Drosophila melanogaster: one gene and its partner. The protein of the gene in region 1 interacts with the protein of each later gene in a pairwise test. Each region holds a gene or a part of one and is shown on either strand. Other genes may lie near its edges. The genes, in order: CG12517 and stl.

Region 1 (3,278 bases):
TACTTCCTGATGATTTGCTTGGGCCGAAACAAGTTTGCCATGTGCAAGTTTTTAGATCGTTTTGCCTTTTGGGCTTTTCTGTTTGGCAGCTTGTATATTATTTGTTAATTGATATGTCGCAAAAACTTTGCATCCTGTGCTGTAAAACTTTGTAATGCCCGAATCATTGTAGATCTACGAAAAATGGATTCGTTGTCTTGGCCACCGATGATAAATCGAAACTCACTTTAATAACCATCTGTTCTCCTTAAAGAAATCCCTGTATACATATGCTCGAAGAGCAGGAATAATTAAATTGTAAAACAGGAGAACGCAAAGAATTTATTGGACTGAACGAACTGGAATTCCAGGTTTGCGTCGACCTCAGCAAAAAGCATAGAAATAGTGCCAGAAGTGGCAAAAATTCCGGGTAGCACAGGTGCACCAGCTGGCCGAAGTTGGGCTCTGTTTAACTATTTTCTATTCATTTTTGCATTTTGCTAATAAAAATTTCATTTTTGCTTAACTAAGTGAAACGAAAAGGTTAAAAGCAGAGCAAGGAACTCTGGCGCAAACGTTCGGCGAACAATGAAGGATTTTATCTTGGCCGACTGTTGTTTGGTCAAGCCTTTGCCGCCAGTACAGTGCTCCCTGGCTACGTTGGCCCAGTTCTTCCATTTCGCCATTCACTTCTGATAGGGAGTGAAATCAGTTGGCGTATAATTTCGTTTTGCCATCGCTCTCAAAAAATATATTTGCACTGTACTTCCGCTTTTGTGCCCGTTGTCTTGTTGCCTAGATAACATTTCCGTCATTTCCCTTTGTGTTGCTCCTTTTTCGGTTCCTGTTTGTTTGCAAACATTTTTAAAATTGTTTGCTGTAATTTGTTTCCGGACCCAGACAGCAACAAAAACCAAAAAAAAAAACCTTAAAAAAAGGGAATATATACAACAAAAAATAGGCAAATGGCCCTTGCCAAAGTGGGCGTTTCTTCTTTTGGCCAACAAACGTAGTTACAGCAGTCGCTTTGTATTTTTTACGATTAAAAAATTATAATTTCAATGCTTGTCTGCCGTTTGGCTCAGCACGTTTGGTCCATCTTTTTAACTTGATTTTTGTGCTGCCAAATGGCGGCGACAGCTGTGGGTATACCATGTTCTATAAATCCAATTAATCGGGATATCCCTAGGAATTTGGGCATCGCCACTATCCCAAAATTCGGCAGCACGTTCCATGACTTTTATTAGTTTCACTTTTTTTCGCCGAGAATTTATGGCGATTTTTGTATATCTATGCAAATGTTTTTTATACGGCTGTATGTGTGGTTGGGTATAAAAATATTTATTTGTTTACTTGCCGTATTGCTGTCCAATTATTAACAATTACACAGTTTTCAAGTTTGAATTTCAAATGGCGCTATAAGAACTGGTAAAAGATACAATTAGGGAAATTTCAGTCAACCAAATGAGTTATTCATTTTAATTATATTGAGTAAATTACATATCAATTACAGCATTTTTTTTAGTTTTTATTCGGACAGCAATTTAATTGGTTAAAATCCTGTTTACTTTTCTCTACATTCGTTTGCATTGTAAAAGTGCCGGAGTGTGTCATCTGTTGATTAAATTATATACGTATGTATGTATCTATTTGTAAGCAAACACTGACGTCATTCGCATTCTAATTCCAAACGAAATGAAAATATTTAAATAAAAAATAAACTTTGCCACGTGCTGCACTCGAATGCAATCGGAAGTCACGTACCATGCTGACTCAAAGTTTGCAACGCAAATAGTGAAAGTGCTGCGAAATCTAAAATTAAATAAAGCTCGTAATTTGACAAAGTTATTAATAAGATAGCTTCGCCGGCGTTTCAGATACTTCTGCTTCAGCGCATTACGTTACAATCGAGCAAAGCTGAAAAATGAAATACGAACCAACGATCACACAGCACGTAGAAATGTTTGAAGTTTTGTGGCGATTTCAGTTCAAAACCAAATTTGCTGCAGATCGGACGCAAAGTTTTCAAACGGACTTCAAAGGATATATATTCATAAAATGAGTAACCTGGGATCAATACTGCTCCTTCTGCTCATCATCTGTATCGAACGCTCGCGACAGCAACGCTTCTCGCATCCCGAATCCTGGACGGATAATGGGATTTACGTTCCCGGTTCGGAGGACGACCTGGACTGGACGGGCGCCAATTGGCAGCTGGTGGTCCGCTTTCTGATGCAGCGCCAGCAGCTGCGTTTCTGCATCGCACTGGCCAGATTCGATGAGCAATTGGTGCCCGGCACAGCCTGCCAGGCTCTTTTGGCCAACGGCCCGCTTATGGCCAACTGCGATATTGGCAACATCGAGGATCTGACCATGACCTTGCGCTATGCCTTCGGCGAAATTCTGCTGGACACAAGTCGAAAATGCCGTCCTGGCTTGGAGCTATTCGGAGTTCGCTGCAGGCGGAGGGCATAACCTGGGGAAAGGTTTTATTAAATATTTTAACTTTAATTTTAAAAATACTAGTACAGTTTCAACAATGCCAAACAATTTTTTTAGTTACCCTTTTCTCTGCAAAAGTTGTCTAAGTTCGTTCTAATTTTATGGCACTTAAATACTTTGGATAACTGCTATTATTTCTAATTATCATCGATGTATTTTTGTGTGCAGATACGACAGTAAGCCAAGTGTTGCCAGAAATAACTGCATTAGTTTGTCGCTAATAAATTAGTAACTAATGGAAAATCGTAACATTTTTGCTAGCTGCTGAAACTACTAATTGTTCCCATTTCCAAATCGCCTCCTAAGTGCATTGCTAATTCACTTTATCGAGCAATTTTTCATCGTCTGCCCTGTGCTGTCCCTTGTCATTTCAATATGTCAATAAAAATCAGAATGTAACACTACCACCACTGCCCATCCCCTGATATATATTCGTTTCCATTGGAAACTGGGTGAAGGACTGAGTCCGAGTGGCGAGTCCTTGCCGAGTGCACTGCCTCCCTGACAAATGACGATTATAATTTGTAAAATGCGCCCATCTTGTTGTTCCCCTTCAGATCCTCAGAGGTCCCCAGATCCCCAGTTGCTTGTCGCATCCCCGATATGTTCGACTTGTGGCCTAGATGTTGCTGTCCGGCCATTTTCGCCCCATTCCCAGGCATTTTCACTCTCGGATTCAGTTTAGTTCATCGCAATTGTTGTTGCAATTAGCAGATGCGATGGGCGGGCATTTTCCGGGCGGTAATATAAGCACAACTGATGGTTTGAATGGAGAAAATTGCACAGCGCAAATGGCC
Region 2 (4,838 bases), on another chromosome or scaffold:
GCGAAAAATAGGTGTGGAGAGTACTAATTAACGGTGCAAGCACCGCCGGTAGAAAATTGCGCCAAAATGTGAGCAAGGCAACTGCAACAACGACAACAATGAGCGCCCGGGACAAACGGCACTCTTTCTTTTCCCCCTCCCTTCACACACTCATCGCACTATCGCAGCGTCCTCTTTGCCCCTCTCTACATGACCACGCTGCAATGGCGTCTCGCTGATGACGAGCCCACTAGTTTGTGACTTTACCATGACCTTTTCGCGGATGCCACGGTAATCTTAATGTTCTAGGGATCAACTCACCTCATCGCCACGCATTTTCAGTGTTGTGCCCACCATTTTGATTGCTTCTTTTCTATCTGTACAAACACAATTAACACGAAGATAGGCAGACGCTTGGCTATCACTTGGTTTGGTTGACTTTTGATCGCGTTTCTGTGACCGAACGCTTGTTTAGCTGTTGAATTTGTTGTCCGAATATATGATTACTAATAGTTTATAATTTACAAGTCGAGTGCGGGATTGTCAATTCTCCGAAAACCTGATCGAGTTTTTGCACACGAAGCGAGGCCAAGCTGCCGTTTGAATTTGAAAATGGGAATGGGGATGGAAGTAAACTCGATGATAAATGCCGATGAGTTTGACGATATCGATTTCTGGACTTAGTTCCCTTTTAAGCCGCAGTGGCGCTCGAGAATAATCGATTTATTAGAGCAGAGCATGCAAAATAGAGATGCGATACGTGCGATAATTTTCGATAGTTTTAGTGTGACCAGTACTGGTGCACAGCTTATCGATGACAGGGCTGAAACAGTGCTACCCATAAATTTCAAATTTAAATTTAAAATTAGCCGAAAAAGAAAACGTTACAGTTTGAAATTTCTGTTAGATATTCAAGCTCAATCCATTTTATACATATTTTAAAAATGAAAACTTCATGGATTAAATTTGATAGTTGGTTAAGGTTCCCCATTTTAATAAAGCCATCGCTTTGACTGCCAGTCGTCACTCGGTTGCACCATCCATTGATTGCATCAATTAAAAGTTGATCACTTCAATTGGCTGTGTTCGGTTTGTTTTTGTGCCCCCCTGATTTGCATTCGCTGATTTAAGATTTCCTGCTGCCACAGGCCGCAGAACATCGAAACTCCGCGGCGGAAATGCAGCATAATTCTTGCCACTCCGCAGCCTTTTTTGCTGATGATCAGTGTCAAGTTTTCGTCTGCTCCATCATTTTCAAGCACTTGACCACAAAACAATCGCCATCGCCTCAGAATTTTGCCTCTGTTTTTGTTTAGTACCCCAAACTCTCCTGTTTTTTTTTTGTGGCCCTTTGCTGCGTCTTAACGGTTGGCGCATTCTTCTTCTCTTCTTCCGGCGCTCTGGCTCATTAGCATATATTTATGAGTCTGTTTGCGCTCCAAAAGTACTTTTGCGAACTCCGGCCAAAAAGCCGAACGAGAATGGAGCGCCAGCCGACGATCGCGAGCTCGAGTTTTCCGTGATTTTCACATTTCATTCGCAAAAGTGCCGCCGTCGCGAGTGGTTGCCTCGCTCTCGCCGCCTCTTTCTGCGCTTCTGTCGCCGTCTCTTTCGTCGCCACGAAAAAAGTCCTTCGATCGATCCAACGCGCATTGACCTCCAGTAAATCGTTTCAAATTTTAAATGCCCCAAAGCGGTCAGATTTCGGCGTGATTTAGCGATTTTTAGTTAAAAAATATACATATAAAGTGCTTTTCGGCTATGGACATAAAACCAGAAGATCGTTATGCTCCAGAGCCGATGATCTATATGCCGTGTGTGTTTGTTGCTGGCTGCTTAATTGTGCGCTGGCGTTTAAATAAAATCAAGTGCGTTTAAATGACAAAAGACTGGCATTATATGTACAATATATTGGCAATTCAGAACTGGAGCTGGAGCTAAAATAGCATTTTTCAAGCACCATTTGGTCTTATCTCGAGTGTCGATCCATAAGGAAGAACTTAGGCAACAAACTAAAGTACACCAGCCACTAAAATAAAACGAAACATAAATAAGATAGAGTGCAAAAAAAAAAAAAAAGTGGCCCACAACAAATGACTCGTAATGCAATGCCTGGGCAATTAATTAGTGCATAAACATTTGAATTAACAGCCGTAAAAGTTGGAGCCCCGTACACGATCGCGCCTTCATTTGGCTCTCTCTCCCCTTTTGAGAAATCGGGCTCCAAGTTTTCCACCCTCGATTTTCGCCGCTGGAAAATGTAACTCCGCTACCACTGAAAATTATGACGCAAAAAAACCGAAATCGGTGCGCAGCCTGAGGAATAATATATTTGCAATTTATGCAACAATCGTCGCGTGGTTGTTGCCACAACAAAGAGCGATTAGTGCACTAGGAGCATTACAATAGCCACCTGTGGAGTCCCAGAGAAGCCGTCATCATCAACGCATCGTTATGACTGTCGCAGCAATTGGATCTAATCGGCACCGTCGTTTGGCTTTAATTGTTTTGACCACCTTGTGGCTGCTAATCGGGGCCAGCAGCTCCTCATCCTCCACCTCCTCCACCAATCCAAAATCCGTCAACATTGAGCTGCGTCGCAAGAGGAGCTTGCACTACAATGGCATTGAGGTGAGTCCCGATATCAATCAATGCTGCCTCATTGTCGTCCAATGAATGGCACTTTGGCTTTGTGGCTGCACGACGAACTGCAAAAGTAGAACATCTTTCATTGCAACTTAAGGCTTATCAACAAGGAATGTCTTTAGTTATTATATTCTTAAGGTCAGGCTTGAATCATGTGACAATTGTATTTATGGTAAAAGTTTACGTTTGCGGTGAGTCAGGATATTAATCAAACTATTGCTGTGGCCTCAGAGTAGAATGATAAGCGATATATCTTTACACGATCACACTGAAAACTTTAAAGTGTTAATGGAAAAATATCAAAAAACTAGTAAATTTCTATCTAACGGTTAAAACAGCTAAAGCATGTCATTTTATTTATTTATTAAGAAAAAAAAACGTATGCTCGATTTAATCACCAATATTTTCCAAGTGTAAGTGCTCTTGAATGTCATACGATTAACCCATTTACAAACACAGGTGATCATCCATCTACATACGTATGCGTCAAGTGACCAATAAAGAGCATAAAAAATCGCCGTATAGACAGAACATGTGCGCGACAAAAAAAAAAAAAGCAAAAGCCAAAAACATAATGTCTGACTCAACTTGAGTTTGAAAAGCTAAGCAGAAATTGGTCGCAGAGTTCCGGGGGAAAATGGGGAGCTTGGGGCGCGTACTCAGTCGCATAGACAAGGCGTTGAATGACCTCTGAAGTATATCTTTGTTGGGATATATGTTTTGGTAATTCGAGAGCTTTAACCCAATAAACATTAGCGCTGGCCAACAAGGCGACAACATGTCGAATTACATGTGTGTGTACACAACGACTCGTTTTTCCCATTTCCCCCACTTTTCCCAGATTCTTCGGGGATTTAATTTGAGCTGGCGTCGCAGAGTCTCTTTCGGTATTTTAGGAACTCATCACACGATTACAGGGAATTGCAAACAATCTTGCCACCAGCTGGCCGTTGCAGCTGCCTCCAAAACGCGAACGTTTCCCAGGCATTTTGCAGACTGGCAACGAGTTCGAGTGACAGGCGGTTCTGGCTGCCAATTTTGGCCAAGTTATTGACCCTCTGAAGTCATACTTAAGAATCCATTCGCTTGGTTGCGCTCTTGATTACGTGATTTTCCCCCTTTTCATTTGTTTTCCTACATCCGCACTCCTTTCAGCCTCTCAAATTGGCCTGAAGACAATTTTCTGTGATATAATTTCCACGTGTTGGTTTTTCAGTTTTCGCCATTTTAGCCCTATTTTCCATGTATACGAGTGTATGCTTTCCGCTCTTCACTCCTTTTATTTTTATTTTTTTTTGCTATTCTGCCGCCCATGGGTCACGCAAAATTTCATCACATAATCAGCTTGGCTAGCGATTACAGCGAGCATACCTGCATTTTCCGCTTTTCCCCCGATTTTGTCATCGCTTATTGTTGCTGTTTGTTTGGGGCTTTTCCGGCAATCGCCGACTGATTTGCTCTTTCTGTGCTGTTGCCCTTGCAGCCAATTAGTGTCCATTTCATTGAACATTGTTTGCCTTTGCTAAAGTTCAGCGGAAAGATTTTCGAAGAGTTAGGTAAGACCGGAGGTGGAAAAAAGGGTATATGTTAGTTGCAATACAATGAACTGTCCAACCTCAGAGTAATTTTTAATTCAGAATTTATAGCGGATTAGTGGAATGGTGACTACATTCATACCTAATAATTATTCCAATTAAAGATACTATTAACTGATTGAAAATTCTTTATGTGACCCATATTCGGGCAATCCTGAAATACATTTGGTTTATGATAATAGAGTCATACAGTAGAATCTTCAGGCTAATCTAAGTATAATCGGATACCCATGGGCGGTTAACGACCAGCCACGCCCTCTTTTGGCGCAGCATTACAATGTTGATAATAAACATTCGCCACAATGGCAATTTGTAACACCTTCTCCCGCTGGAGGCGGAGTTTCGATCCGAAGAGCCGAAACGCTCTTCACGCTCCGCCGAATCCAACGCGCTTTTCCACAAACAGCCAAATAAAATAAAGCCGAATGAAAACTGTTACAACAAATTAAATTAAATAATCGTGAAAAGCAGACGCACGCACCACAAAATATACGGCGAATGGATGCTAAATGGTATATATGTATGTTTGGGAATAAGACATACATTTTAACTGCTGCACTAACCTTTCCACCCGATGAGCTGGTGACCCCAACACAGCTGTTTGAGCTGTCTAATTGG

What was found.
Region 2: the proteins of CG12517 (region 1) and stl interact in a two-hybrid assay, tested with the Drosophila melanogaster proteins (one large-scale study listed by BioGRID).

Annotation. Positions count from the first base shown.
Region 1 is NT_033779.5:10,868,203-10,871,480, forward strand, and holds CG12517 (uncharacterized protein), read left to right. Parts: upstream 1-1,964; 5' UTR 1,965-2,037; coding exon 2,038-2,454; 3' UTR 2,455-2,520; downstream 2,521-3,278.
Region 2 is NT_033778.4:22,806,346-22,811,183, forward strand, and holds the start of stl (stall), read left to right. Parts: upstream 1-1,514; 5' UTR 1,515-2,433; coding exon 2,434-2,610; intron 2,611-4,838. Other genes in the region: CycB (cyclin B), read right to left, coding at 301-336.